2 linked regions of the Schizosaccharomyces pombe genome follow. Changing the gene in region 2 together with the main gene of any one other region gives a genetic interaction. Each region holds a gene or a part of one and is shown on either strand. Other genes may lie near its edges.

The links.
Region 1: of hfi1 (region 2) and htb1, a mutation in one rescues a mutant of the other (synthetic rescue), as found in Schizosaccharomyces pombe (one study listed by BioGRID).

What each region holds. Positions count from the first base shown.
Region 1 is NC_003421.2:1,404,143-1,419,672, reverse strand, and holds htb1 (histone H2B Htb1), read right to left. Parts: upstream 7,315-15,530; 5' UTR 7,190-7,314; coding exon 6,809-7,189; 3' UTR 6,037-6,808; downstream 1-6,036. Other genes in the region: NADP-specific glutamate dehydrogenase Gdh1, read left to right, coding at 1-216; lmb1 (plasma membrane LMBR1-like multi-pass membrane protein, human LMBRD2 ortholog, implicated in signaling), read right to left, coding at 690-2,039, 2,235-2,402; exocyst complex subunit Sec5, read left to right, coding at 3,523-3,695, 3,762-6,036; hta1 (histone H2A alpha), read left to right, coding at 7,751-8,149; SPOM_SPCC622.07 (uncharacterized protein), read right to left, coding at 9,790-10,176; SPOM_SPCC622.06C (uncharacterized protein), read left to right, coding at 10,489-10,857; SPOM_SPCC622.04 (uncharacterized protein), read right to left, coding at 12,574-12,996; SPOM_SPCC622.03C (uncharacterized protein), read left to right, coding at 13,306-13,704; SPOM_SPCC622.02 (uncharacterized protein), read right to left, coding at 14,214-14,597; SPOM_SPCC622.01C (uncharacterized protein), read left to right, coding at 14,918-15,367. UniProt on the Schizosaccharomyces pombe protein: Core component of nucleosome. Nucleosomes wrap and compact DNA into chromatin, limiting DNA accessibility to the cellular machineries which require DNA as a template.
Region 2 is NC_003423.3:3,570,673-3,586,406, reverse strand, and holds hfi1 (SAGA complex subunit Hfi1/Ada1), read left to right. Parts: upstream 1-6,687; 5' UTR 6,688-6,951; coding exon 6,952-7,168; intron 7,169-7,210; coding exon 7,211-7,437; intron 7,438-7,488; coding exon 7,489-7,588; intron 7,589-7,706; coding exon 7,707-8,182; 3' UTR 8,183-8,374; downstream 8,375-15,734. Other genes in the region: nat1 (NatA N-acetyltransferase complex subunit), read right to left, coding at 1-1,148; his4 (imidazoleglycerol-phosphate synthase), read left to right, coding at 2,581-2,700, 2,807-4,312; Man5GlcNac2-PP-Dol translocation protein Rft1, read right to left, coding at 4,489-6,072; SPOM_SPBC887.17 (transmembrane transporter), read right to left, coding at 8,498-10,375; SPOM_SPBC887.16 (uncharacterized protein), read right to left, coding at 11,157-11,486; sphingosine hydroxylase/sphingolipid delta-4 desaturase Sur2, read left to right, coding at 14,146-15,027. UniProt on the Schizosaccharomyces pombe protein: Component of the transcription coactivator SAGA complex. SAGA acts as a general cofactor required for essentially all RNA polymerase II transcription. At the promoters, SAGA is required for transcription pre-initiation complex (PIC) recruitment.

The sequences.
Region 1 (15,530 bases), on a different chromosome or scaffold from region 2:
ATGGCTCAAAATGCTCAATTCTCTACCTGGACTCATGCCGAGGTTGACGCTAAATTGGCTGGAATTATGCAAAACATCTTTGAACAATCCACCGATGTCGCCTCCAAGTATTGTGACTCTGGCTCTAACAACATTCCCAGTCTTGTCGATGGTGCCAACATTGCTGGTTTCTTGAAGGTTGCTACTGCCATGCAAGCCGTTGGTGACTGGTGGTAGACTTCATTCGTGAAATGTTTAGGCATTTTTGATTCACTGTATCTGTATATGTTTTTTCAAGTCACTCGCTTTTCTGTACCTCTTCTACTTTACCAATTTTTTTAAAAAGCTATGAATCTATTAGATGATTATGATGCATACGAAAAAAAATAAATCAGTCTTTGAATTATTCTCACAGATGCTTCGAATACGAAGTACCCGTAATTATGTAGACTTTTCATGTAATAAAAGGATCATTTGATTTTCTAGTTCCGCTCAAGGCGCCTCCTTTATTCAATTAATTTTAACTGGTATTTGATAGCTGTATGAAATTATTATTTATGAGAATCCTTTGAAGAATTTACTAAAAAGAATTTTTTAACGTTATGTAAATGATAGACTTGTATAAGAAAATAGTTGAGAAATAACAATTGCTGTTAAAAATGTGAAGAATAGACTAAATTATTAAAATACATAGGGCTCATAACGGTAAATTAAACATGGGCATTATTTGTACCCAAAAGAAGGGCTCTGCCTTCAGCTAAATAGGCAGCCGAGGTTTCATTAAACAGATCATCATCGTTTTCTGAATTCAGTGATGAATCATCAAAGTCATCGGAAGAGCTGGCACTGGATGATTTGCGCAGCGTAATGGAATAAATGAATTGTCGCAACCTATATTTTAAAGAAATCATAGAAAAAATAATCGGCAGTAGTATAAAGGTTGGATAACGTTTGCTAATAAGATTTCCAAGTGGTAAGAGGTCAATACTCTCACCATAGAATTGATGGAATTGGGTGGGATAAGGTTGTAGAGAAACAAAGTTATAACAAAGAGGAAGCGTTAAGCGACAAAGTTGAGATGCGAAGTATATCAAGGAGGCCGTATTTGTAGCTCGGAAAGGAACTAATGCATAATAGTAATGTGGCGCAAATTGAGTTCGCATCAAGGATTTGTACGTGCAGTATCGCATGTAATAAACAAATAAAAACGATACAAAAATAGAAGTGGCAGACGAATTGGTAAACTTTTGTAAGATAATACCAACCAAGGAATATTGAGTGTGCAAAAACACTTCTGATACCACAATGATTACACTCATTGAAGCCATAAATATTGAGAACAAAATTCTAAAAGCTGGAAGAATCCAAACGTAAAATGCATATGCAACGACAGGGTGTATTGGAATATATGAGTCTGGTAAGTATAGACGATAAGAGCCAGATGCTTTAGCAGTTTTGATCAGCATAATACGATTATATTCTTTTACCATTTGATTCCAAGTAGTTTGTAAAGCGATCACGTTAGACATTCCATTTGGAGAACTGTGAGGATTGAATGCGTGATCAGTAAGAGATGAAGTAAAAAAATCGCTGCTAGATTGATTCCGGCCGTTATTTAAGCTAATGGATGAAGATGGTAAAGAGTAGCTCTCGAGCCGAGCTTGAAGTTTGCTGTATACTCCGACAGCCTGGCGCTCAAGAAGCGCGGCACGTTTTGTAATAAATGCCTTTTTCCACATACTAACCGGGACATACACAAAACCATTTCCCAGAAGAAATATGACAAATAAGAGTCCCCAAAAGTATGTAAGGGAAATCACCAATTCTTTAAAGTTGGAGAAAGACATAGTTCGCAAGGCGAATCGCAAGTACGCAATTACGACACATGTCAAAAATGTCAAAAGTAAATAATATCTAAGGTTTTTGTAAAAAGAATCACTAAGACGACTTCTCGGCGTTGAAAATTTACTTTCCATATAACCTTGGACAAAAGGTAAGATGATCCAACTGAGCACGAATGTTAACCAATATAGGAATCGCCATATTGAGAGTGAAACATCCTACAAATAAGTTAGTAAAATTTAAACCATGAAATCAGTAGAAGAGTAATAATTGTATTCATAAAGCTTGAAGTAATTTCGATAAAGTGTAATCAATCTCGCAACAAGTTCAAGAAGGCTTTTAGAGGCCCTATATAGTACTTGAACAATTAGATGACTTCCAATTCTGTATTTGTATGATATTTAGCTACCTACCCAAGTTACGTCGATAGGAATTAACAACGTTACAACGAATGGTACATATAAGCCTAAAAATACGAAAATTCCAGGAATTGAAATTAAAGAATGTGGTTCAATGTATTTATATATCCAAATTAAGGTGAAAAGTGCTGGTATAAGTAATAATAGCAAAAGGCCCAACATTTCGATGAGGCAAACGGTAGGTGTGATTGGAAATCCGAGATGGGTCATATACACGGGAATTTTGAGGAAGTGCAAAAATACTTCAAAAATAGCTTCGAATATAATTTTATTATCTTGAACGTTTTTAAATCTTAATAAACACAAAATCCCTACATTGAACCAACTGCTCATCATTATTTAATTATGCTATCCACATGTAAATAAAGCGACGAATATGCACTAAATATATTGAATTTGATAAATATTTTTATTTAAAAAATAGCGCTTAAAAAATATTTTTACCAAACTTAATTATCCTAACTGTGAAACTACAATGTGAAATTTCGGGCATGTTGTCTACAAATTGAATATTTTAGTTTTTAGATTTCGTTTGTACCGTATATCATTGAAAATTATATCGCTTTAAATTATTTAAAATAATTCAAAATTTAATAAAAAAATTTTGATAGTATATATAAATCTCTCACGTCTCATTATAACAACTTGAAACTGAGTTAAATTATTTATTTTATAATGAATACAAAATCCTTCAAAAGAAAATTGCACATATTTATTAAGCTATTAAATAGCGATTAACTTATTTCAAGTTTCTATAAAGCTCAAATGAACTCATCGACCCGTTAATGTTGAGAATCACATGGTTAATATATTTTATTTACAGAAATTCCATTTGGGAGGTTTCCTCCCTGGAGGTTTAATTAATAAATGAGGATTTAAATAATTTATAACAATCAGGTTGGTAACAAAAGGTTTATAGTTAATTTTTGTACTATATTTGTTTATGAAAAGCTCAACTCAGAAGTATTACAGAACTAACAGATTCCACAAATTTATCAAATACATATGCTTCAGTAATCGGTTAAGAATTTTTTTTGGATTTGCAAACTTAGTGAATCTCTTAAATGCGTACATATTTACAAATTCGAAAAATACTTGTTCTACTTGATTCAATTTAGGAACATGCAATTTAAGCTTAATTGGAAATTTTAAAAGTATAAAAGAATGATCTATGGACCAAAGGGATTAAAAAATCGATCGCTTTGATGAATTCCAATTACTGTGGCATTGCGTTCTCTGCCAACTACCATAATACAACAGGTGAAGGGTCTCTTTTCAGAAAATGAGTGCAGACGAAGAGATCCTTGCTCATTATGGTTTGACAAGTTTAAGTCAAGACTACTGGACTGAGAAGCCGGACTTTGCGATTGCCAATGCCTCAGTAGATGTACAAAGTCCTACTACCGGTGTTCATCATGAACGTAATCGTTCAGAAGACATACTTCGTACGGGTGGGTAAGTATTTTGTTTAGAAATAATTACAAAGAAACTGGTGAATTTATTTTTCTCTAACGATTTTAGCGCTACATCCGAAACTACCAAAGATGCTAGTGCAGCTGGACCAGTAACACCATCATTTGCAATGAAACGTAGTCAAACGAGCGTCCAACCATCTATGTCATCTCAAATAGCTATTGGAGGTATGAGAAACCCGATGGCTACACGTAAAATCGCTGGGACATATCGCGATGCTCCTGATAACTCTATGCAACAGACGAGTACGGGAGTTCATCGATCATCTTCGTGGTTAACCACCGATGGAACTCATCAGTTATTATCGTTGATGGAAACAAACTTTAATAAATTTATTGCCGCGAAGGAAACTATAGATAATGTTTATGCTCAAATTATCAGCACCTTGAGTCATGCTGGACCCGCTAAGACAATGGATATGTGCGAAGAATCAATCTCAGGCGCACTTCAGCAACTTCAGCTTTTCAACACAGAATCAACTAATGAGGTCGATATTTCTTACGGTGAACTATTGGTCATGCGGGAGTGTGAGGCTCTATTCACATACCCTGAGAAATTTCGCTTATATCACAAACAAGAAAAATATAGTTTATTAATGCAGGAGATTGAAAATGCTAAAAAATTATATGAAAAAGATCGCGAACGTTTAGCAAAGGTCAATCCAAAGCTCGTGTATTTAGTTGATCATGCTTGGGAAATTATTCAAGCCACTATAGATGGCATTTGCGCCTCTATCTGGAATCAAATTTTACAAAGTCAAGGAGATTTTGCTTTTGTTGTCCGTACATTATGCGATTTGCTTAAATTAAAACCCAATCCCATTAGCGGACGGGACCCTGTACTATATGCTACAGTCAGTCAACAAAAATATTTGTACAATCTTATGAAGGAAAGATTTTCCTATTTTGAAAAAATAATTAAGTCTAGACAAGAAGACTTTTCTAAATTATCGTGCACGCGTGCATCGCCCATGCTGGTTTGGCGTGCTGTGGCTCGTGGATGCAATTTGGATTATACACTTAGGGGACGACCTGAAGTTTTTGCAGGAATGCAGCTTATCGAATGGGCGAATGCATGTGTTTTAAAAATTGTTCGTGAAATCAAGGAAGTTGAACTGTATGCCAAAGAATTCATTAGTGGCATTCAACAAGCTAGCTATCCAGAAGCCGCCAAGCATTATGGGCGTGACCCGAAGCAAATGGGTGTAGTGGTTGAGAAGTTGAATTCTCAGTGTTTGGAAATGGTTTATTCTTTTGTGGGTGAACGTGGTGAGCGTTTAGAAATGGATGGAGCCTTTGTTCTTATTCAATTACATTACTTCCAAAGAGTTGCTGATTTGCTTCCCAAACGCATAAGAACAGTATTTTCTATGGCCGCTACCCGTTGTATTGTTGATACATGGATGCTCCAACATGCGCCTCAATCCAAATCAGCTAATATAGAAGAGATGTTCATTGTAGATGCCAATGAAAACCAGGTATTGGAACCGGAATTAATGGTTGTGGATGTATTACGAGAATTGAATAAGCTGTACATACCACCTCATCGTGAAGAGATTGTTCGAGAGATTCATCATGCGTTTTATAAGGTTTTGTATGCGAATGCAAGGTTCCCCAGTATGAGCGTTTCGATGGCGAACTGGGAGTCCGATGTATGGTCTCTTGCTTCTTCTACCCTAATTGATTTCGTGCAGCACCGTAACCAGCATGATATGAAAAAGCTTGCTTCTAAAATGACAACCTCTCTACCTGTTTTCTCTACCTCCATTACCCGCTCTGATGTTTTACACTTCGTAACTCGACTGTTAAACTTGCGTTCACGTTTGGTACCTTACCAAAAGTTTCTCTTACAGACATTTCCTCTTAACGAGGTTTCTCCCTCCCTCGATCCGAGAATTTCAAAATCTCTTCGAAACTTGCAAGATCTTTATAAATTGTTGGCCATACGGGATACCAGTTTTTCCAATACCACACCCTCTTCCATATCCAAGTTGAGCATTCAACCACCGACCTTCCAATTGTTTTCCACTCTAGAAACCATATACTTAGAATTAAAAGACTCCATGCCTCCTAATGAAGCGGCAGATTGGATGATAGCCACAACGTCTTGTATGCTCGCTCAGTTTGCTTTACACTCACCATATGCCTTTTTCCACGACATTCCTAGTATTTCGCATTTCTTAAATAAATGCCTTCCACCTACCATACTCGACTTGCTACAACAAATCCAAAGAAAGGCAGAAGCCAGCTCCATAAGTCCGACTACGGAAACAGCTACGAAAACACGACTCAAGTTTCAGTTTATTGAAATGATCTTTTCATAATATTATATTATTATTAATAGTAGAATTACTTTACAATCTTTCCAAACATATATAAAATCATTTGCATAGCAAACATACCAAACCACATCAACTTCGCACACTGGATTCTTTGGGATATTTTGAATGTGAATAATAATATTCCATTCACCATCAATCTAAATCACCAACATAAACAATAATAATAATAATAAATCCATTAATAAACCAAGATGCCCAGGAGTGGAACGGGAAATGGAGTGTGAGAAGTGTCTGTATGAGTGCCAATGACACAAATTATTTCCATACATGGCGGAAAGGAACAAACAGTCGAAAAAAAAGAAACTCAACTCTCCAACCAGTGGTGATAGCTATAAAATGCACAAGGGAAGAAGATTAACCAAGGGAAGAAAAAGCATCTCGTCCCCGTCGAATCGAACACAAAACCCAATTTGATCCAGTACGACTTGTGCAAAACAAAACACCTTTCAACTCCACGAACCGGTCATAGAAATGAAGAACCATGTGTAATGTAAAAAAAACTATCGCGTGATGTGCTGCACCTGTGTTGTTGTTGTCGTCATTGTACGGGGAATAAAATAGGAATGCGATACAAAAGGCGGAAATGGAAAAGAGGAGGGAACGAAAACGTTAAAAAAGGGAGGAGGAAAATATATATTTCCAAAAGAGCAAATAACCTACCCCCTTTTGTTTCGTGAGGTTGTCATTGTCGAAATGGAAGGCTGTGGAAACTCATCAGCTGACTAAAAGACGATTGCACAATCGTGCGATTCGCTTACTGAGCAGAAGAAGAATACTTGGTGACGGATTTGGTACCTTCGGTAACGGCGTGCTTGGCTAACTCACCGGGAAGAATCAAACGAACAGCAGTCTGGATTTCACGGGAAGAAATAGTGGACTTCTTGTTGTAAGCAGCAAGCTTGGAAGCCTCAGTGGCAATACGCTCAAAAATATCGTTGACGAAAGAGTTCAAGATACGCATGGCTTGGTTGGAAATACCAGTATCAGGGTGAACTTGCTTCAACACCTTGTAAATATAGGATGAATAAGTTTCCTTTCTGTTTTTACCACGCTTCTTATCAGCAGACTTCATGGTATCCCTAGGAGCCTTACCGGCGGGAGCCTTGGAAGCGGGTTTCTTTTCAGCAGCAGACATTTTTTACGATTTAAAAATTGGTTGTCGAGAGAATCTCAAAATTGATGGACTGAACTAAGTAATTGCAATTGTAGGAATTTGATAATCCTAAACTTTCGTGCAATATCAAGTTGTTGGTATTAACTAACATGCCTGCAGGCGACGCGATGGTTATATACAACTTGGGCATCACAACCCTAACCCTGGTGTTTAGCCATGCGACGCGGAAACGTCATCTACAAGAACGCGTTAGACGTGCTTATACGGAAGATTAGAATTAGTATATATATGAAGGGTGCGCGCTCCTATGTCTCCTTTTCCCTATATCGCGACTTTTCGTTGTTTAGGATACCTTTTGATCCATACACGTATTGAAATTGATATAAACAATTGATCCTTAGTTGATAAGGAGATTGATTGTCCGTAAAGGCTGAAATTGCGAGAAAATTCTGTTAATTTCACCAAATTTGATCCATTCGCTGCTTCATCGTTGACTGTTATCTTTTTTCATTAAAGAAGGAAAAATCTTTTTTTTTTAACTCAAACTTTTATTTTTTTTATTTAGTTTCAGTATTTTTCGTCATGTCTGGAGGTAAATCTGGTGGTAAGGCTGCTGTTGCCAAATCTGCTCAATCCCGTTCTGCCAAGGCCGGTTTGGCTTTCCCCGTTGGTCGTGTCCATCGTTTGTTACGTAAGGGTAACTATGCTCAACGTGTTGGTGCTGGTGCTCCCGTTTACTTGGCCGCCGTTTTGGAATATTTGGCTGCTGAAATTCTCGAATTGGCTGGAAACGCTGCTCGTGACAACAAGAAGACTCGTATCATTCCCCGTCATCTTCAACTCGCCATCCGTAACGATGAAGAGTTGAACAAACTTCTTGGTCACGTTACCATTGCTCAAGGTGGTGTTGTTCCCAACATCAACGCCCATCTTTTGCCCAAAACTTCTGGTCGCACTGGAAAGCCTAGTCAGGAGCTGTAAAGTCAGTCGTCAAGTAAAACATTTTGAAAGAGGATGAAGGGAAAGACATTGAAAAGTTGTAAAGGACCTTTCTTTTTTTACAACCCCGCAATACTTTTTTTGGTTGTTTCTCGCTTCTAAACCATGTTTGGTTCTTTTTCCTTTTGAACTTTTTGCGTCTTTCTTTTTCTTTGCTGTTATTGTTTTCGTTATGCCTGAACTTTAAGGATGTTTTAGATGCAGCCAAGTCATTCTCTACTAGTTACTTTTACTAGTACTTGAAGGGCTTTTGCACAAGTAATTCCTACTTGAACTGGCTCCTTTGGTTTTTTTTATTTCTTTTTTATTCTCCCTTAATTATAATATTGTATAGTAATGAGTATATTTTTCAAAATCCTATATGAGAGTATGTATCAAATGAATAAATAGATTGTAGAGTGGAGATGAACAGATTGATGAAAGGAGTGTCATTAAACATTGAATCGAGCAGTACATGCAAAAGAATAGTACTTAATTTTTTTTTACAATTAATGCTTTTGAATTTCCAGAATTTTTTTTCGATGCAGTTTTTTTACTCTTCTTTCGTGAAACGGTAGACGTTTGCTTCTTTTGAGTTTTTTCCTTCGCCGATTTCGAAGCTCGGTCGCACCAGTACAGCACAATTCCAACTAAAAGACCAAGCATTTCATAAATTGAGAATGCTTAGATTTGGTAATTTTCACGTTTATTTTCCCTTTTTTTCTGTCTATATTTCTTATGGGCTATTTAGTCATTACGTCCAACCGATTGGTTAATGAATTGTACCCGGAACCGGTAAAGCCAGTTAACGAGAATATGTAAGCAATTTTTGGCAAGTTGGTGAATTTCACAAATTCATTTACCCATAATGCTGCTTTTATCGTTATTTATGGATAGTGATTGCTGTACGTCTCTTTATATGTTTGAAAAGAATACAATAAATAGGAAGGAGTTTGGAAAAAAATAGCTAGGTTCTTATGTAACTGTTTGATTTTTTTTTTTTTTCTTAGTTTTTTATTTTAATTTTAATTTTTGTTAGAAATCGATTTCATCGTATCTATTTAGGATTTTTCAATATTTTTTCTTTTTTGCCAATGTATTTTTATAGTTGTATGAAAATTATAATACTAATATCAGTCAATAAATAGCCATTGCAGTTTATTATTTTTATATTATATCAAAAAATATTAAAACATTATAATAAAATTTTTGCATGGCTCTTAGAAAAGCATTTATCGTAAAATTCGAGTTTGTTGGATTGTAAAATAGTAAAAAAATTCCAAAATATTGAGAATATATTCTGGCAAAAATTTCAGATTATTATACGGGAAAAAAATAGCCATAGAACAATTACAATTGTTACAGAAGTACAGAATTAAAAAACAAAAAATTTCATTACAAACATAGGAAAACTATTTGACACTACCGATACAACCAGCTGACGATGCCGTTGATTCCGTTAAACAAAAGTGTTTGAATTATTTTTAAAATGAATTAAATATATTAGTAAAAAGGTACGAAGAATTGAAGTTTGTTAAGTCTAGCAAAAATTTAGCGATAAACTTCAACAGTAAAAGGATTTGGCTTTACCAAAGGTTGATCATTGCGCTTCAGATCAATTGACTAACCATTTTTGTACTCCTTTAATCCTGTTTATCAAGCTCATCCATAAAGGTTGAAGTGTACTTTGGAGGTTCATTAGATTGACTTTCACCAACGTTCTGGTTCAATGAGTCTGGTTTGTTTAAAAACTCAGACTCAGCATCTGGTTTAGGAATAGAAATATAATAGATAATCACCGTTATTATTATACCTATAACGCCAAGATTCAAAAAAACCCAACAAAAAAAAGAAAAACCATTGTAATTTTTTACATAACACACAATGTCGACAACGTAATTGAGGAAAAGGAAAATAATAGAAATATATAGAAGCCGGTGAATTATCTTATACTTTTCTTTTGCGACCCTTACACACTCTCCGTAGGTTAAATCCTTCTTCACATATAAATGAATGTCCAAGGACGCCATATCGAAACGAAAGAGAAAGAAAGATGCAAATTCAGCTATTGGAAATTAAACTTTATTCTTAATTGTAAACATTTACCAATCTTGAGTCAACAATAGACATAGGAAAATGAAATGCCTTTCCCGAACAGTGAGATTGAAAAGGCTAACTTCTCTTCAAACCCCTGCTAACTACTGCGTGCACAATCTATTAACCACAAATAATGAAATTCAATTAAATTAAGTTTTCAGCTACTGAAAAATCCATTTTTCTTATATTTTCAAATTTCGTGATTTAAAAGTGTTCAATTAACTGCGTTTTGTTAGACGAAAGATATGAGCCCAAAGGAATCCATCGAGTTGCAAGAATTCCAGTCGCTGCTTCAGGACGAAGCATATGAAGAGTTAATTAATAAAAAAACATATGAAGCTATTAAATATCGGAGTAATGATGGTATTTTACCAATTATTATTACTTTATTTATTTTCTCTTTTGTTATAAGTCGAATGATCATATTCTTTATAAGTCTCTTCAACAAAAATACGTACTGTGAACTGCCTGCTGTAGCCGATGCTATCATAAACAGCATAGCTTTAGTGTGTATTATAGTCATACTTTACTTCAGTTCTCGCAAGCTCAACGTTGAGATTCGACGAGGTGAAGTGGAAGACTATCGAGCAAATTTGGAACGAAATCAACGATGAAAAGAACAATTAATTTTTTATATTTGAATTGTATATGGGACTTTATGCATATACCGTTTTGCTAACCTTTGAAAAACTTATCAACCGCAATTCTCTCTAGTTGATAGGAGTTTATGAATTGTAGTAATGAGAAAGAAATTTCAACATCAAGAAAAGGAAGGGAGGAATTAGAGGGTGTTTAATTCTTAAACCATCTAGTTGAGATTGACATTTGACTCGTAGGGAAAACAAAATCGACATCGAATGACAAGCGAAATAGAAAATTAAGATTTACGATGAATATACTTCCTTTACGAAAAATTATTTACATCCATTTATAGGAAGAAAGTATGACTTCATGAAATTTCATTTCGATTTTAATTGCTGAGACTGGATTCTCTAATTTTTTTTTAGGTTCTTCGCTTACATAGTGTAAATAAACACTTGGATAGGCGTATAAAATACAAAACACATCCATAGACATTAAAACACCTAGAACTGAAAACAACCAACGTAAAAAAGGTGAAGGAGAGCGCTGAGAATCAAACAATTTAGGATACAAAAAGCATTCACAAGCATAGTGGATGGATAACACTGCAAAAGAGATAACCATAGTATAACAATGTTCTTTACTTTTGATCAATCTTAGGAGCATCATCTTTAGAACGGCCATACTGTGGCCATGTTTCTTAGTTAAAATGCAATGTGAACGGCACGTGTCACAAGAAACAAGAAAAATAGAACGTTCAAAGACCAAGTAAAAATATTGGCAAAAATTGTGAACGCGGTTTATAGATTAACTCCTTCATTTCGACTCAACGTTCAATGCCTCTATCAATTAAAACGAATACAAATGAATACTTAAACAAGTTTAGCAAGAAATGGAAGCTATTTAAAAAAATGTCCAGCAAAATTCAAAAAATAAAACAGTAAAAAGTGAGGTTTGTGGAAAGAAAAGTCCGTAAATGTAACTCTTAACTAAATTGTGAAACCCCTGGTCTGGTTTAAATATTTAAATCATCAACCACAGAGAAAGATTTTCCTATTATTCGACTTGAATTGATAGCAATATTTCAATCTGATAACTGAATTGATTTTCAGACATTAGAAGAACTTTGTTGACGTGGCTATTTTGCTTGTATCATATATGATGAGTCCAAGTGAATCCATTAAACTGTACGAATTCCAGTCGCTGCATTGAGGTACTGCGTACGAAAAACTGATTGAGAAAAAATCAGATGAAATTTCAAAGGGACATCACGAAAACTATTTATGGTTTGGATTTCTTCCTGGACTATGCTACGTGGATTTCCGCTTACTCATTATGATAGCAATTATGTCTGATGGCTTTAAGTCTCTTAAAACCGTGAAAGTAGATGTGTCAGATTTAACAGTAGATTTCATTCTCAGTTGTTAGCTTGCTATTCTATAATTCTCGAAAGCTCAAATTGAGATTCGACGAGGAGAAGTTGAGGAGTTTCAAAGGGATCTTGAACAAGAGAATAACTTTTCTTCTGATTACATTCAAATGAGTGACATTACACCTGTATACTAATAATTTGAGAATACATTCAATATGGTAGTTCAAAATGGAAAAATAAATAAAATACAAATTCTTTAATTTCTTTTGTTTTAAAGAAAAAAAATTGTCACACCAAGGAAGAATATAAATAATAAACCTATAAACATAACACAAAACAAAAACAAGGTCGATGCAAATGCCAAATGGATACAAAATTAACTAGATTCAAGAATTGTTAAGCCCTCTCGCGTATTTTTTTCTTTTTCTAGTTCAACTGCAGAGGATGAGGCGTACTCTAAAGGTTCATTAGATTGACTTTTAAGGAAATCCTGATTCTTTGACTCTTGCTTCTTTCGATAGTCAGGTTCAGCTTCCGGCTTAGGAATACTATTCAAATAATGAAATCCCATAAAACTTACAAGAAGAATTATTAAAGTCAAGAAAAAATAGACGAATAATAATGAATGACTAAATCCCTCAAAATAATACTTAACATCAACAACACAATTGGCAAAAATTATGAAAAGGAAAACGTACAAGAGCCATTGAGTTTTTTTAAACACATCGTTCGCAACATCTGAACACTCCCTATAGGTAAAATCCTCCTTGATAACTATTTCAATGTCAGGTTGTGTCATGTTGATAAATATAACACAAAATTTAGCAGATATTGGCCAGAAAATGAAAATGCTTTTGCATAAGAAGAATAAATATTTATCAAATAATACAGAATATTTAGGTCGGGATTGTGTAGGCAGAGAAATTGAATATATTGGTTGAATATCAAAATCGTTAAACCTCTGGTCTTGCGCTCCAATTACTCATTAACAACGATTGTCGAAATCCTTTGACTTTTAAGCATTTTATTTCATATTAATATTTTTTCGCAATTTTTCTTGTTTTTAAACGGATTTGTTCAAACTAGCTGTTTTGCCTCCCACAAAAATATGAATCCAAAGAAATCCATTCAACTATGGGAACTCCAGTCGTTACTTAAAGGTGCCACATACAAAAAACTAATTGAAAAGAAAACGTATGAAGCCGGTAAGGAACGAGCTGATAATTATGACTTTTTGTTTATGTCTTTTATCTCCTTCATCGTGTCTTGCCGTCTTTTCATTCTTGTGTTTACTTTCATCTTTAAAGGTTTTCCATCAGCTATTCAAGTAATTGCTATGATCGATGCTGTCGTAAATGCTTTACTCATACTCATAGTACTTGCGATGCTCTTTATAGGTTCTCGTAAACTGACAGTTGAAATTCGACGAGGTGAAGTTGAGGACTTTCAAGAGAATCTTAAAGCAAGAGAAGATACATTCAACTCTTCTCCATATCAGAGGTATTAATAACACCTTCATATATCGCTTTTGGGCACCTATTCCTTTACGCCTGTTTCACTTTGTTATAAAATATTTCGTTTCCATTCCGCTGCCTTTAATCTTATTACTCCTTTAATATTTATTCAACATTTAAGTCACTACTAATCTAAAAATTAACTTAATAATTCAATACTATTTTTATCTAAAACGTATTCGTTTCATAAACTTGTCTCGTAATGCGAAATGGAAGTGTGTTGAATACATCGACCCTGAACGAACTCATCTTCCAAAATTTAGAGCACTGTTCGATATACTGGTTTGTACTATTCCTATATTTTCGACACCTCTTCATATTTCATTTTGAACTTCAATTCATTTAATATATCATTCACAGATTAATTAATAAAATACAAATTATCATCTATTCTACATGTCTGCCTCAAAAACTCGGCTCACAATGTCACCGATTATGGCATTCTCCTTATTATATTAGACAAGCACTTCAAAAACATAATTGAAACAAAATATACGGCCAATTAAGGTGCTTCTTGAGCGGGACTGGACATTTGTTGCATAGGAATTTGCACCAAATCCTCTGGAACGGTGACTTTAAGCGGATGTTTCGACAAGAAATAGTAAAGGATGTTTCCAACAAGCATCAACGTAGAGCACAAAATTATGGGCAACCCGTGCTCCATTGTGTCTTTCCTGGATGAAGGATGCGACATTTCTCGAATGAAAGCGATCAGGCAGTAAATGAACGCAATTCCGAGCCCAGCAAAGTTACTAATCAAAAGAGGAAGTGTGTATTGAAATTTGTTTAAAGAGGACACCCATAACTTGTGAGAAACTTCTGGGTCTGGGGAAGAATTCGGTGTATTATCAATAATTGCTTCAAGTTTCGAGATATTTGCTGCCATCGTGAAACTGTTCAGCAGAAAGAAAAGAATCAAAACAGATGTCCAAGAATAGAAAAAAAGAAAAGAAAATCAAACTGTGAATGTCGCTCCTTCAGCGCTTTCCAACACCGGATTTCTTGCTTCGGGTAGGTAGGGTTCAAGGACATTTTCCACATTTGGGCTAACCGCAGTATCCTCCCTCTTTACTCAGTGTAGCAGCGGGTATAGTGAAAACCACATCGGAATGACGTTGTTGTAATAAAAAATACCTGAAAACTTTACTTTGACTTTTTGAAACGTACTTATTCCTAATTCCTTCCTGTAAATTCACTTTTCCTACGATGACTGTGGATAATGTATTCATCCATGCCGTCCCTCGCGAGCAAATTCGACGACGTTACTCTTACTTCGAAGCATTTGAAAAGAATTGTCATATACAAGGAATTCTTTCAAAACGAGCTCTTTACATGCTAATCCCATGCTTCATGGAGTTTGCGGTTGGCTCCATCGTTTATAGTTTTGGTGTGCCGGGATGGGTGTTGGGAATGAATACTGTGTTGGCGGCTGGATTCCTTGTGATGTTCCTGTTCCTTGTGTGGCCGTGTTTTCAACTTGTAGATGAAAGACAAATTGAGGAACCGGGAGAAGATGAAATGGCGCTCAATGCCGGTGGTTATTATCCTTATGCCGAAGAGGTACCTCCTCCCAGTTATCCATCGCTCGAAGAGGAGAACGAAGGAAACGAAGAAATAGAAGAAAGTGAAGAAATGAACACCCTTTTATCAAAATAAAAAAAGTGGTTCATATGAATGGTGTGACGGTGGCGCTGATTTTCAATCCGACTCAATCCATTCAAATGAGAATTCCGTAAATGCAGTGCAATAAGAAAGCATTGGGAATGTGATTAGCCAACGATATGTCTTACTGTGTTTGATTCTCGTATTTTCATTTAAT
Region 2 (15,734 bases):
TCTTCATAATCACCTAGCTTATAGTGTGCGAGGCATAAGCAATAGGTACACCATAGTTTATGTGTTGGTATATTTTTAGCAGAATCGCCTTCTCTAAAATTACTCAACATAGTAATTAACTTCTTAGAGAACGCATCATTTGTTTTAAGTGGGATTTTAAGTAAACTGATGAAGGAAGGAATAAAATGATGCATGGAATACGAGATCAAGTGATTTAAACAAAAATCGTAGTCCAGATTTTTGGAGAGCAAGAAAATTAAAACAGATATACCAGTCTGAAGAATCTCTGAAAATGTTTTAATTAAGGAATCAGTTCTCTTTAGCAAGAGATCAAGAGCTAAACCTCCACTTTTGTAAAAATTCCATAAACTATTCAAATATTTCTCTGAATAATCTAAGCGATTTGGAAACTTGATGAGCAAACGAGCGTATAGGTATATCGATTCTTCGTAGTTTTTCTGGCGAAATGCAAAGTCAGCCTTAATATGCTCAAAGTTGAAGTTATTTAAGAATGAATTTTGATTCATTAATAAAATTTCTAACACGGTTTGACTACCGTTTTCGATATGCTCGCATATTCTAGGTAAAAATGAAATAAGCCTCGAAACAACTAAAGGGGATAAATTACATGAACTGATTAAATATTGAATTTGTTCCAACGACTCTTTATAATTCCCAGAAAGAAAAGCAGACAACGTAAAACATAATCGATATTCTAAATTACTTGAATCCAGTTGCAATAGTCGATTCCAATTATCAAAAAGGGGTTGATACAAACCAAGTTGAGCTTGCAAATACGCGGCATCGTACCACAAAGATTCATTGTTAGGAGATATTGCTAATGCATTCTGATAGCATTTAAGTGAGTTGTTGTAATCTTTGGTTTCTCTGTAAACAATAGCTAAAGCATGCCAACAAAATTGAGATTTAGGATCGATAGAAGAAGCATACCCACATTTCAAAAGTGCACTACGACTATCATGCAGTTTGCAAAGATTTAAACCTAGCAAAGCTACGGAGTCGGGATGTTTAGGCTTTTTTTTTAATACTGACTGGATAGTTTTGAGACTTTTGGAATATTGTCCCTTTTCAAATTGATCTATAGAACGATCAAAAAGAAAAGCTTCTTTTTCGGACAATTTACTCATCGAAGGATAAGACTTTAATTGAACACCCTGCTGCTAAGTCAATAATCACGTTTATAATATTGCATGCGCCCTATAGGAATTGTAACAGTAAATACTTCAGTGCGTATAACAATTTGATCTGAAAATATAATTACTCCAAAAATATGTAAAAATGTTACAAACAAGTAACCTGAACCTGAATATTTTAGAAGAAAATATATTTTACCAACGCATCAACGAACGATCGGCTGAGCCAAGAAAAGTGATTTACGCATAAATAACCAAAAAAAGATCAATAAATTGGTACTAAACTTATATAGTTACTCATAAATACCCAAGTAAAAGTATCACTGATTTTATTTTTAAGTGTTCCTCATCAACTTAGTCGAGTGAAAGCTGAAGGTTTTTTCCTGGTTCTAAGCGACAACTAAATTGTATAATTATTAACAAATGTCTACCCTATCTCCAATTTATATTCCAATACCTTTTGGAAGAGTGTCTTAATTTTATTATAAAAAACAATAATTTTGCAAAAGATACTAACGACTTTGTAGTTTCGCATTAGTTAGAAAAAAAAAGAAGATTGGCTGAAAAATTTTAATTTCCTAAAATATTTAAGGATTGAGCAAAGGAATAGAAACGGTAACGGAACCTAACTATAATTCTTTAATCGTTTTATCATAGAAAATCCAAAGCTTTTCACATTTGCATTCCAGGGGTTTTGCCGTAAGGGAAAAATCGTTAGTATTCTAAATAGACAAAAGATTATTTCTTGATAGTATGAACGTAAGGGATTCAATCAAATATCGAATAAAATTTACAAGAATTATGTCGGTTAAATCACATTCATCACTGTTTGATTGTGCTTCTTAAATACTAAGTCTCAGTATTAGCCATGTTAAGTTGTATTTCCTTTACTCATTATGGCTAATCAAGAATTAACAATTTAAGACATAAAGAATATCAACGAAAAGATAATAAATGTCTTTTGCTCTAATTTACTTCTATTTTCTGCAAAAGATCATACAAATAAATCTACTATTGTTGGCATACACTGCATTACTCAAAGTAGCAAAACCTTCAAATAACAATGAATTATACTAGCGGTAGCAATACCAAATAATGCTAGCATCTTAATTCAAGATTGACAAATAACGGAACGTCTATAAAGTTGTTTTAAAAAATACGTTGATTGATGAAAATATAGTTACATTACTTTGATAAAGCTTTATAAAATACCTTACCCCTTTAGGCATTGCATCACTCGTATATTGTCTGACATTGAACAAAAAAAATACTTTGGACGCATCAATGAGTTTTGTAGTAGTTTATGTGCTACAGACTCTGTAAGATAATGAAGTTGATCGCAATACGCTATCGTAATGCAATCGACGGTGTGCCATGAGTATACATTATAAGCAAATTTGAAGTTACATTTTGCATTACTCATATTATGATTGTTTCAATAGTTGATTATGGTAGTGGAAACGTTCGATCCTTAATCAATGCCGTTAGGTATTTAGGGTTTGAAACACAATGGATCAGGAATCCCCATGATATTGAAAAAGCTGAAGTATGTCATTATTGTTTTTAAAAATGTTGTTACCATCTACATTATAAAGGCTAAGTCAAATCGGTTTTTTTTTTCGTTTTCATCAAATACTAATCTATACTTTCAGTGCTTGATTTTTCCTGGTGTTGGAAACTTTGGTTTCGTATGCGATTCCTTAGCAAAGCAAGGATTTTTAGAACCCTTGCGTCGCTATGCTTTGTCTGGCAAACCTTTTATGGCTGTATGCGTTGGAATCCAAGCATTATTCGAGGGGTCTGTTGAAGCACCACATTCTAAAGGGTTGGGCGTATTTCCGGGGTTAGTCCAAAGGTTTGACAACGATGACAAGACCGTCCCTCATATTGGTTGGAATTCTTGTGCTGTACGATCTGACACTTCAAAAGAGTTTTTTGGTATGCGCCCACATGACAAATTTTATTTTGTGCACTCTTATATGATTCCAGAAAAGGGACTTATCCTTCCTCCAGAGTTCAAAATTGCTACCACGAAATATGGAAATGAAACCTTTGTAGGTGCTATTGTAAAGAATAATTTTTTAGCTACCCAATTTCATCCGGAAAAAAGTGGATCTGCAGGTTTGCGTTGTTTAAAGGCATTTTTAACCGGTAATTATGAGCAACCTATAAGTGGTGAAGCATCTAAACTTATAGAGAACTCCTTTGGCGGATTAACAAAGCGTATTATTGCTTGCTTAGATGTCCGTTCCAACGACGCTGGTGACCTTGTAGTTACAAAAGGTGATCAATATGATGTCCGTGAAAAATCTTCTGGAAGCGAGGTTAGAAATCTTGGAAAACCTGTGGAGTTATGTCAAAGATATTTTCAAGAAGGCGCTGACGAAGTCGTTTTTTTGAACATCACTTCATTTAGAAATTGTCCAATGGCCGATGCACCTATGTTACAGGTTTTAGAAAAGGCAGCTCAAACAGTATTTGTACCTTTAACAGTAGGTGGTGGAATCAGAGATGTATCAGATCCTGATGGGACTTTTCATCCTGCTGTCGAAGTTGCTGGTATTTACTTTAGATCAGGTGCCGACAAAGTATCTATTGGAAGTGACGCCGTTTATGCCGCAGAAAAGTATTACGAAAATGGGAAGAAATTGAGTGGAAAAACTGCTATAGAAACAATTTCTAAGGCCTATGGTAATCAGGCAGTTGTTATTTCGGTTGATCCTAAACGTCAGTATGTAAAAGTTCCTGAAGATACTAAACACCATGTTGTGAAAACATCTCGGCTTGGACCTAATGGAGAAGCATATTGTTGGTATCAGTGCACCGTTAAAGGAGGTCGTGAATATCGTGATATTGATGTTGTTGAACTTACTCGTGCTTGTGAAGCAATGGGTGCTGGTGAAGTACTATTAAATTGTATGGATCAAGACGGTTCAAATGCTGGGTATGACATAGAACTTGTTCGTCTTGTTAAAAACTCTGTGAATATTCCAGTAATAGCTTCAAGTGGTGCTGGTATTCCCCAACATTTTGAAGAAGTATTTAAAGAAACGGATTGTGATGCAGCTCTTGCCGCCGGAATTTTTCATCGACAAACTTGTCGCATAGAAGACGTCAAAGAATATCTGGCAATACACGACGTTCTGGTTCGCACTTAGCTAGCGAAGTCCGTCTGAATTACGATAAAAAAATATTTGTATCTAATTCCTTCCCCTTTTAGCACTAAATTAGATGTCAATAGTGCACTGAAATTGCATATGCCAATAAAATTTGTTTTGGATAATATAAATTTTTATCCAGATTATTAAAACTATCTGACATAGAGTAGTATTTATTACTTTATGTAATATTTACTCAGCAGAATTTTTGCATATCCTCTTACGTCTTTATCGACTAAAATTATAAAACAACTGTACAAGATGGCCAGTGAGGGCGCGGACAGGAAGTATACCAAAAAGGGGACTTTAGATTCTCTCCAATGTTTTACGAGGAAGCTGCTTATAATAGACAAAAGAATTGAAAGAGCTAGCAAAAAAGGCCTAGGAAGAGACCTCGGGAGACTAAAATCTTTATAATTGTGAAGAATAAACCGTAAGGCAAAACATATCCTCAGTGATAAATTTAATATATTTGCAAGGATTAATCCATGAGAGCCTAAATTAAACCATGATAGAAGGAATTTTCCAGTAATAAAATAAAATACAGCGGAAGCCAAATAACACTTCCCTTGATCATACAACTGAGAAGAGTTGGCTGCTGAAACATAAAATGCTTCCAACACGCCGTTTGCAGCCATAAACGGAATATACATTGCGTACCAAGATAAAATGCTAGAGCTATCAGGAGAAGCCCACTTACTTCCTGCGCCAAACAAAAGAACAATGTCCGAGTAATTACTTCCAAAAAGGATAAACAAACTCATATAAGAATATAATTTTAAAATCCATGCCAACAAATTTAAAGCCTTTTTTTCATCTTTTTTGTTCTTATAATGCGTTAACTGAGCAAAAACAATGTGAGAATGGTCCTCTACTGGTCGAAACACGATTCTCGCCAATAAAGAACCATAATTGGAAGCTAGCGCATACGGACCTTGAGCAGAAGGAGAAGCATACCATGCTACCATTATCTTATCGCCCTTTGTGATTAGGTGTTTTAACAACACTTGATAAGTATGTGAACAGATTATTCGAAGAGTAGAACTATCCCAAAATATATACCTCTCGTTTTCTCCCACTTTGTGGAGAAATATGGAGAATGGCTGTTTAGCAAAATACCTTAAAGTAAAAAAAATGGTTACTTTTTCTGACAAGTTACCGAGGGCAAAAGGAAGACTTGACGGTGCCTTATTCCTTCCTAAAACAGAAATTGCAAAGGACAATAAAGAGCAAATAATTGTTCCAAGTCCTTCTGCTGAAGCAGTCTTGGAGAACTTCTGGCGCCATTGAAGAACTTCATAGTATGGTTCAGATAGCAACTCAATGAAACTAGAAACGGTGTAAATAAAAATACATGTTTTAGAATAAGGAAAATTAGGAAGTGAATAGAAGTAAAATAAAGAAACCAGAAGCGATATTACGATACCAATGTAAACACTGATCAAAGAAGTATTCTTGATCAATTGCAACTGATCACTTAATTTTTTTGATTTGTTTGACTCAGTAGAAGTAGAGGTAATTATTGCATTTTCCGAAGGAATTCTTTGCATAGCTAATCGAACCGACTCCCTGCTGAGGAAAAGGATCGTACTCTGTAATATCTCAAAATGAATAGAAGAAAATGCATAGGCGCTAGGACTAGTTAACCGAATGGTCAGTTGGTTTAAGAAGAAAGTCAATATTCTCGAACTTCCTTGAAAAAATATGGAGGAGCGCAGTCCCTTCGAGGACGACTGCAGCAAAGAATCAGATTTATCCATTAGCTAGTTGGTACTGATCTAGATTCAAAGAATTATACTACAAGTCAATAGTTGTTTACCTCTTTCTTCCATTAATGTCCCAACTTTTTTTATGTAATTCGTATTCTAACTTATAAATGAGATATTTACTTGGTGGATTTGGCGCATAAATGGGTGTCTCTTGAGCGCGCAGTTAACTTTTCAGGACACATTACTAACATAGAGCATTAAGGAATTCTACAATATACTTGAGTTAACGAAGTAGAGTTGCCATGTTTAACCCGCCGGCTATACAGCCATATTTGTATTAAAGATGCGTTAAAGTACAGTAAGCTTCTACTGCTTGTAATTCATATGCTGTTAATACCAGGTTACCTTAAACTTCCATAAGTATAATAATCACAAACCCATTTCACGACTGATTTTAAGGACGTAGGTACAATTAAAATTCGTTTTCCTATTTTATAATTTTGTGGTTAGATAATTAATAGTAAATCAGATACTCAAGAATATACAGATGATTATTACTGTATACTAAAATTTTTTTAGGCTGAAGAGTGTTTGATGTTTAGTGAAGCGTACCGTAAATTAAGCATTGCTGGCATGTAATAACTTGGACTACTTCTAGTTTAAGGCATCATTCTACTAAGTCTGAAAGTTTTTTGTTTGAAACTCATTAAGAACCTTTGTAGACAACTTTCTATTAAAAAAAATAGGTTCTTTATTTGTACTTAGCTTTACTTTTGCATCTGCTTTTTAGCTACAAGTTTGAACAATTTACTTGTGTTTTACACCAATACTGGGACTTATGCGATTAAGCTTTCTATTTTAATTCTGCTATTATTTTTTTTTGTCATAAACTTATTTTGATGACCTTGATGATTAAATTGTACTAGAAAAATGACAGAAGGAGTTACTGTACAAAAAGTTCAAAGCGCTAGCTCGAATGGGCACAAACCCAACACAGTAATTTCGCAAATAATCTCAGAGATGCAATCACTTTTGGGTAGCAGTTTCGAGGTGTATACTAAAACAATGACGGACTTCTTAATTGGACAGTTGAGCAGAAAGGAAATGAAGTCGATGCTGTTAACTTTCGCTGGAAAATCAAATTTTGGTAAGATATAAATTTTTATTTAATATTGTTCTGACACTTTAGATAAACTACACAATTCAATCATTTTTCATATTCTCAAATTGATGCAAAAAAATAATGATACCTTTAGTGCTCTACATCATTTACCTTGGTTTAAACGGAAGAAAGTCGATAATAGTTTATTTTTACATAAAAAAATTAGTTCGCAGAATGCACAGGTTCGATTAATCAAGCGAATAGTAATGTCTTTAAGTTATAAAGACCGGGCTAGGATCAAAACTGCTTTAAAAGTAGGCTTTATTATAAGTCTTTTTTATCACCTTTCTAACAAACATATCTAGGAAAAGCCAGTTACACCAAGTTTGATCTCAGGATTGCTGCTGGAAACGAGAATTGCAAAATTACCTAAAATTCCTGTATCCCGAGACAAGCTGAATTCAGGTAAGCCTATTCTTTAATAGGTTCTAAGGAAGTATTCAAAAGTGTAACCATTTAATTTTTATTAACGGAAATTTCCTTTTAACCACAATTTGGGTAATATTTTCACTAACCTCATTAGTATTTGTAAATGATATTAAAGCCGGCTATGTTGCACCTCTAGCATGTGAAACACTTGAACTTCCAGATTCAGAATCGTTAAAAGAACGAATTACAGCTATTTCTCTTGAAAATGGCTTATTGGGTGGTGTACAAAAGGGTGTGTCTGATATTATATTGGCTGGGTTAGAAAGCCATCTAAAGAACATTCTAAGCAGATGCTTTTCTATATTAAACAAAAATATTCGACAAAAAAATACTGAAAATGATGCGGCAGGTTTTACCATTAATGACCTTAATCTAGCATGGACTATTGAACCTCATGCTTTTGTCGAACAGTATCCACAGAAGTTAAGAATGCCGTTTTTGCTTCATGATAGTTATACTGAAGATGAAATTTCAATTTGTGCAGAATCGCCAAGCTACATGCTTGCAAGCAATGATGCGCAAAGTGATAGGAATTCTGTTGCTTCCCTTTTAGATGAAGTGCTTTCATAACCGCGGAGGTTCTTTTTTTTTTAATCTAATCGTCAGAAGTGCTTTATTTATTTACAATCTTAAAAGCTTCAAGGGCTATTCTTCAAGCGTTTCAGCTCGCAAATATACAAGACTTGATTATCCTTTTAAGTTAGATTTTTTTCACATATTTTTTTTTTTTAATTTATAGTAATGAATTTAATATATAACAGGTTGCGAAATATGTAAGATGAAGCAATATAGATATTCTAAAATACGTAATTATCCAGCAAGATTTACCGACAGAATACTATTATTGTTCAAGATTTGCTAAAATATAGTATTAGTAAAAACTGTTTAAATACGATCATCAGTATCCATATCGATGCCAGCATAAGGCGTCCGGAAATCCTGTTGTCTATTACTGAAACTTTCACTTTCGCCAACAGCTTCGTCAACAGAAATGCGCTCATCGTCCATCTTCTTTAAAGATGTTTCTTTCATTGTAACGTCCTCATGAGTAGTTTTCTCATTTTTACCGTCCTCCGAATAAGATCTACTAGTAGCCATCTCTAAGGTGGCATTGTCCATAGCTTTGCGGTCGTCAGGATCTTCCCAAAATCTGCGGTTACCCTTAAAGAGGCGACGTACCCATTGAGGCAATAAACCCCCCTCGACACGCCATGTCCAAGCTTCTTTTTGATTATAGTCAGCCGGTACAAGTCTACCGCGTGACATTTTGTCAATAGCATAAATAATGGAGTTTAGTAGAGCGTAGCAAATAATACCGGCAATCAAGCCATACGCAATCGAGTAGGTAAATGGCATCAAAGCAATTGTAATAAAAGCAGGAATGGAGTCACCAAGGTAACTCCAGTTAATCAATGTAGTACTCTTCATCATCATACTGCCGACAAGTACTAATGTAGAACCGGTAGCCCAGACTGGAATACTTGAAAAAATAGGAGCAAAGAAAAGAGAAATGAAAAAGCAAATGCCTACAACCATACCTAAAATCCCTGTTCTACCGCCAGCCGAAATACCAGACCCGGATTCAATAAAAGCAGTAACAGGTGAGCAACCAAAAAGTGACCCAATAGAAATACTTAAAGCATCGACGATGTAAGCAACTGCGGATCCTTCAAAGTCTTGAGTACGAGGATCGACCAAACCAGCATAGTTAGCCATTGAGTAAAGTGTACCAGTCATATCCATAATGTCAACGTACAGAAAAGTAATCAGTGCAATGGCAAATTGACCGCCTGTAACGTTCCACTGTTGGGCAACAAGAATACGGTTAATTTTTCGAAAGCTAACAACCTTTTTGAAAAAATCAAAATTATAATCCCCTGTAAGCGTGTGGGGAAACATAGTTACTAATGAGCGTCTAGGCCAACTTGTGATAGTGACAAGTGCGATTCCAGCAAGGACAGCACCTTTAAATTTGTACATCATTAAAATAGCAGTGAGAACACCGCCACAGAATATACCTACCCACATTCTTCCTGATTGTAATTGATGACCGTTGCAGCTATAATCAGCGTTTAGGTATTCTGGAGGGCATCCTCCTAAAGCGACAATATCAGATGAGGAATGCCCAATGACTCCTAACCCAGCACTTGGACTGAGTCCGATAATTGTGAGATACAAACCAATACCAGCACCAGTAGCAAATTTCAAAGAGGCAGGAATAACTCGCGCCAGCCATTGGCGTAGACCTATAACAGTTAAACCAGTAAAGATGAATCCTTCAACAAAAACAGCTAAAAGAGCTTCTCGATAGGAAACACGTCCAGTGCCATTATATCCGACAACTTGGTACGCAAAATAAGCATTTAAACCCATACCAGGGGCCATACCCACGGGCATATTGGCAAAAAGACCCATGCAGAAAGAAGCGAGAGCAGAAATGGCAGCGGTGGCTGTGACGAGATCACGATGAAAGTCTTCTTTGCAAAGTACATAGTCATCAAGTTTGTCACAATCATCACGATTAGCTTCAGTACATTCGCAAGTGCCGCCCGTATCTACGAGAATGGTAGCATTGACAGCCAAAATGTAAGCCATTGCAAAAAAGGTAGTAAGACCAGCACTAATTTCGAGAGAAAAGCGACTGCCTTTACGCTCCCGAGGATGACCACATCCCTCTAGACGAAACCAACGTCCGAATGCCGAACGAGCGACGATCACGTCGAACTCTTCGACCCAATTCCTTACTTTTTGTGTGATGCTCATCTTCTCGATAAACTAAGGAAAAAAAGAAAAGAGGATTGAAATATTAAAACAATAAAAACGAGAATACTTATAATATATGTATATATATTACACTAGGTATCCAAATAACCTGCCGAGGATAAATAAAACACAACAAATCAACGGAAAGATCCGTGTTAATGCTAAGCAAAAAGCCCTTTTCACAAAAATAGATTACTTATTAAAGATACAAATATTAGAGAAATCCCAAAACCCACAAGGAAAGAAACCGATTTTGCTTCCAAACCTCAAAAACAGTAAAAGCAATTTAAAAAACTTTTGATGAAATTGTAAACAAAGATCGAGATAAAAGCAATCTAATCTTTAAAGTTGTTTGATCAAAGCCGTTTTCTAAAATCCAGAACCTTTTCGACCTACCACTAATCTAAAAATTTTCTGCTAAGCGATGAATCTCGATCTCAACGTGAAGATTGAAAAAACTTTATAATCCTTATCAACTGGATGCAAACCTACACCTAATTAAGTACAACAGTGAGTTTTCAGTCCAGGACCTCTTTATTACTGCAAAGAAATAGAAATTGGTGTTTAGAAAAAAGTTTGTAAAAAATGCAAAGTGTCGCTGATGGACCCAAGGACTGTTAAATACTAGTCAAATTTGGGCGCTTATATTTAACAGCCAATAGCTGTGCTATCAGATACTGCGTCAATTTCGCTACTTCAAAAAATGAGATAAACTCAAAATTCCACTGCCAATAACCTACTCCAAAGATATAAAAAATTCTTAAAAGTAACAATGATAACATTAGTAGTATTCTTCACAAATAATCGACATGCGAAAATTGCAAGAATACAAATGTATTCTGAAAAATAAAATGAAATTAAGCAGCCAAAAAAGAAAGAAAAAATGAAGATTACTAAAACTATTTTTGAATTCTGTCTTTGCTAAAGTTATTGCTTCTCTTTCTACTACTTGCATTAGTAACAGGGGGGTTTCATGTAGATAACCCTCACATACTCTCTCACGTTGACGCTGAATGCTAGGAGCAAAAAAATTAATTAAACCCGTTTTAACGACTTTAACTTGAGCACACCACAGGACTTTGTAAGGATATTGTAAATTGGTCCGAGCCATGTTTAAGATATCACCTATACAAACATATTTATATCACATTTGTTCGTTTTTGCAATCGCTTATCAAAATTCATGCAATTATAAGATAATTAAAGTAAACGAAATCATTAAGGTAAGTGATTATAGATTTAATACTTGTGCTCGTTCGTTTGGTGAGTTTTCTCTGACGGTACAGATACAAGATTATTTTGACTTGAATACCCCCATTATTGAACCTTCATAGTAAAAAGAAAAACACATGTGGGGGACATATGCTGGTAGGTGCAGCTAATACTAAAAGTTAAAGTGGGGAAAAAGACCTTACTGGGGGTACATAAGTTTATATGCTATAGAAGGTTAGCAAATGATTTTAACTGTGGTATGAAATTAAAGTGGGATAAAAAGACTTCAGTGGGGGATTCAAGAATTCATTTAGGGAAATCCTTGAAGTATGAAAATTTGAAACGATATAGATACAAGTAAACTACGCATAATTCACAAGGCGGTATTCGAAAAATGAAATTCTTAAAAGACTATCAAGCGTTATTTTATTATATTATTATTTACTACTTTTTTTTTTGTACTAACAGCTTTACTATATCTTTTTCTTAATGCAGCTACCAGGATATTTGTACTGCAAAGCACCCGACTGTAATGTTCACTCTTAATACATTCATTAGTAGTTTTTCCAAATCCATATGTTTTTAGCCGGCTAAGGTATAATGTACTTTAAAAATCGCTGCTGATCTAGTCAAAAGTTTAATGGAAATCATCCACTGTATTACGAAACATATAGTATTTTTAACTGTGTCGCACTAATTAAACAAAGGTTGTAGCAGCTTTTAGGCAGCTGGGATGGATTTTTCAACCAAGATAACAAAACCGTCAATTATTAGACAGGAATCCAAAATTATTGATTCCTTTTTATTATTGCATTTTCAATTCCAAAACATGCAAAACAGAAGAGATGTCAATGGCATCCCGGTAAATAAAAGAGTCCTTTTTTTAGAGGGGATGGGGACCGGCATTTTACCAATTTGGTACAAATCAGTCAATCTAACTATTAAATGGATTTGCAAGTTAATTCATTGGATCCTATGAGTTTAAGGTATGCTACTCCTAGTGTGAATGGTATTCTATGTTGATTGTTTATAGCTTTTCTTTCTACGCATGCACATCTGTTATGAAAGCACAATCATATAAAATTACACGGAATCATTGTTTAGCAATAGCACGCTGACAATTTCACAGGTCGCTTCAGTGCTATTTTCTATTTACAAGCCGTGGTAGTTTAATTATCGACATTATGTTATTTTTTGTTGAAAATAGCAATATCAAGTGTCCTTCGTAGTCGCTTCATAAAAAGTCAATTCTCTTTGTACCGAAAATTAAAACCCATTCAATTGCTGTCTTTCGCTGAAATTGTTAAATTACTAACGACCTAGACGGATTCCAAACAAAAAACGGAAAACAAATTTTTTTTTTTTTGTCAAACGATTTTTTTTACTATCTGTGTTCAGCGGAATGTACAACTTTAACCCTTCCGATAGTTTAAAAAAATCCCAGTATCAAAGGGAGTAAAAAGTAACAAAAAGCTTCCGTTGAATGCTACGACTTGTAGCCACATTTTTTAGTCCCTAACAATTATAGCGAGATATATTTGCTTCCCGCTCTAATATAGTGTAGTGTAGTTTAGATCCGCTACATCACATGTTACCAGCAAAAAAAAAACATCAGATTTTGCCTACAATGAGATGATACGATTTGTAAAAAAATCTCGTGTTTTCAAGAACACCAGCAAAATATATATATCGCAGTTTTAACCTGCATTCCGCAGTTCAAAAACATCCAATTCCTCTACTTTTCAAAAAGTCTTTCACAACTTTAGGGTCAAGCAATCTAGCTTAATCTTTAATCCCTTCTTGTAATAGTTTCAATTGCAAATTATTGTAGGCACTTAGTTTTTGGTTGTTAAAATAACAAGGTCTTGTTATTGCCGAATACAATACGTCTCAATTTTTTGACATCTTTTAGTGTTCAAACTTGAAAACTTGCAAGTTTCTAATTTATCTGTAATTCCATTTGTGTCTAAAAACACCGACGGTTATTACTTTTGTTCTCGCCTTCCCTTCTCCCTTGAGACAGATCGATATAATTTATCAATTTAATTTTGTTGGTCCATACTGATCAATTTCGGATTTTTTCGTTGGCGAAAGTTCCGTTTCTTAAAAATTAACTACATCTCGCTGCTTAAATCGGTAAATCGACAAAGACAGCCGCGCAAAGCTTGTACCTTAAACTTTGCTTTGCATTATATAAATTGTCACCATCGCAAACTAGCTCACCGAACCTCCGCCACAATCGTTGTGTTTGATAGTTTGTTTTTCCCAAAGACAAATTATTGAAAATCGAACAAATAAAGAGGTTTGTTTCGTTTAAATATCCTTTTTATTACTTGTTGTTTTAAAAGGTTCCTTATTGGTTTCATCGTTTTTCAATTGTTTGTATAAATCACATTTCTTGCCGTTTGTGATTTGTATATATTGTACCAACTGTTTTCTTTCTTCAGTCTAGACACATAGATATATATTCGCATATATATAACTAATCAGCTTCTCTCTTTTCTTACACTTTCACTTAACTTTTTGCTATATTTTCGAATTTGAATTTTTCTTGCCACTATGGTTACCACCGTTGAAATGTTAACTACCTGGAACCCAGTGACCGTTTCCTTGGTTTCTCCTGTCATCATTTACTGGGTTGCTTCTGCTTTCTTCGGATTTTTGCATTACATTGAATTACCTGTCTTTGAGAAGTATCGCATTCATCCTCCGGAGGAGATAGCCAGACGCAACCGTGTTCCTCAGATGGCTGTTGTTAAAGCCGTGCTTTTCCAACAACTTTGCGAAGTCGTCGTTGGAATCGCATTGGCCATGTTCGAGGGCTATCCTGAACCCATTGACGAGGCTAAGCAAATGTTACGCTACGAGGCTTTCTTCAGCAAGAATTTGCCTGCTTTGTTACAAGTTGCTCCCTTTGCCCCTAAATTGGCTTATAACTTTATTGTTCCCGCATTCCAATACTTCTTTGCTTTCTTCATCATTGACAGCTGGCAATACTTCTGGCACCGTTACCTCCACTACAACAAGAAGCTCTACAACATGATTCATGCCCATCACCATCGTCTCCAAGTTCCCTATGCTATGGGTGCCCTTTACAACCATCCCTTTGAAGGTTTGATTTTGGACACTTTTGGCGCTGGTGTTGCTTATCTCGCCGCCGGTCTTTCTCCTCAACAAGCTGTTATTTTCTTCACCCTTTCTACCTTGAAGACTGTTGATGATCACTGTGGATACGTATTCCCTTATGACCCTCTTCAAATGTTCTTTGCCAATAATGCTCGTTACCATGACCTTCATCACCAACCTTACGGTTTCCAAAAGAACTTTAGCCAGCCCTTCTTTACCTTCTGGGACCACGTTTTGGGAACTTACATGCCTCCCAAGTCTGAAACTCCTTACGAGAAAAAGCAAAAGGCTAAGAATGCAAAGAAGGTTAACTAGAAATTACAAAAGTACATGTGCTCTGTGATATTTGCATTTTTTGAATCTTTCTTATCCTTAGTACTTCTGCTGAATCCAATATACTGTTTTTTTTATATTGAGTTATAAATGTTTACTATTAATTTTTTCTCATTCTTTCTAGTTTCTTTGTTTGCTATTTTCATTTTTTTTGAAATTTTATTAATCTAATTGTTCTTCCTTTTAAATTTGTCGGTAGTACAAATCGATTGGCAATCCTTACTGTTGAAGTTATCCCTCCTATGACTCTAGGTATTTGTGATAACCGTAACCTTGTATTTTTATGTTATTTTCCACTTCTAAAGTCTCTTTAAAACGGGATGTTTGACACGGACTGCTGAAGAACACGATACTTACCTAAAGATGCATGTTTTTGTGTATCTTTACCAAAGTTGGTTGGTCAACGAATTTAAATCGTTTGTCGCTCATTATTGAATTTTCGACTTAGTATTGATTGTTTTAGTCTACATACAGTATATAATTTATTAATTGATAGCATTTATTATTTACAGACTTCCGAGGATATGGTATCGTAGACGCGTTTTATCAAATATTATAAAATTAATAACTTACTGTAAACACGGGTTAATATTTGCTTCGATTGTAACATATTATAACAAAAGTCAATTTATTTGCATTGCATTGCATAGGCCCCGAAAGCAAATTATGCAAGTTATACTTAAGGAACG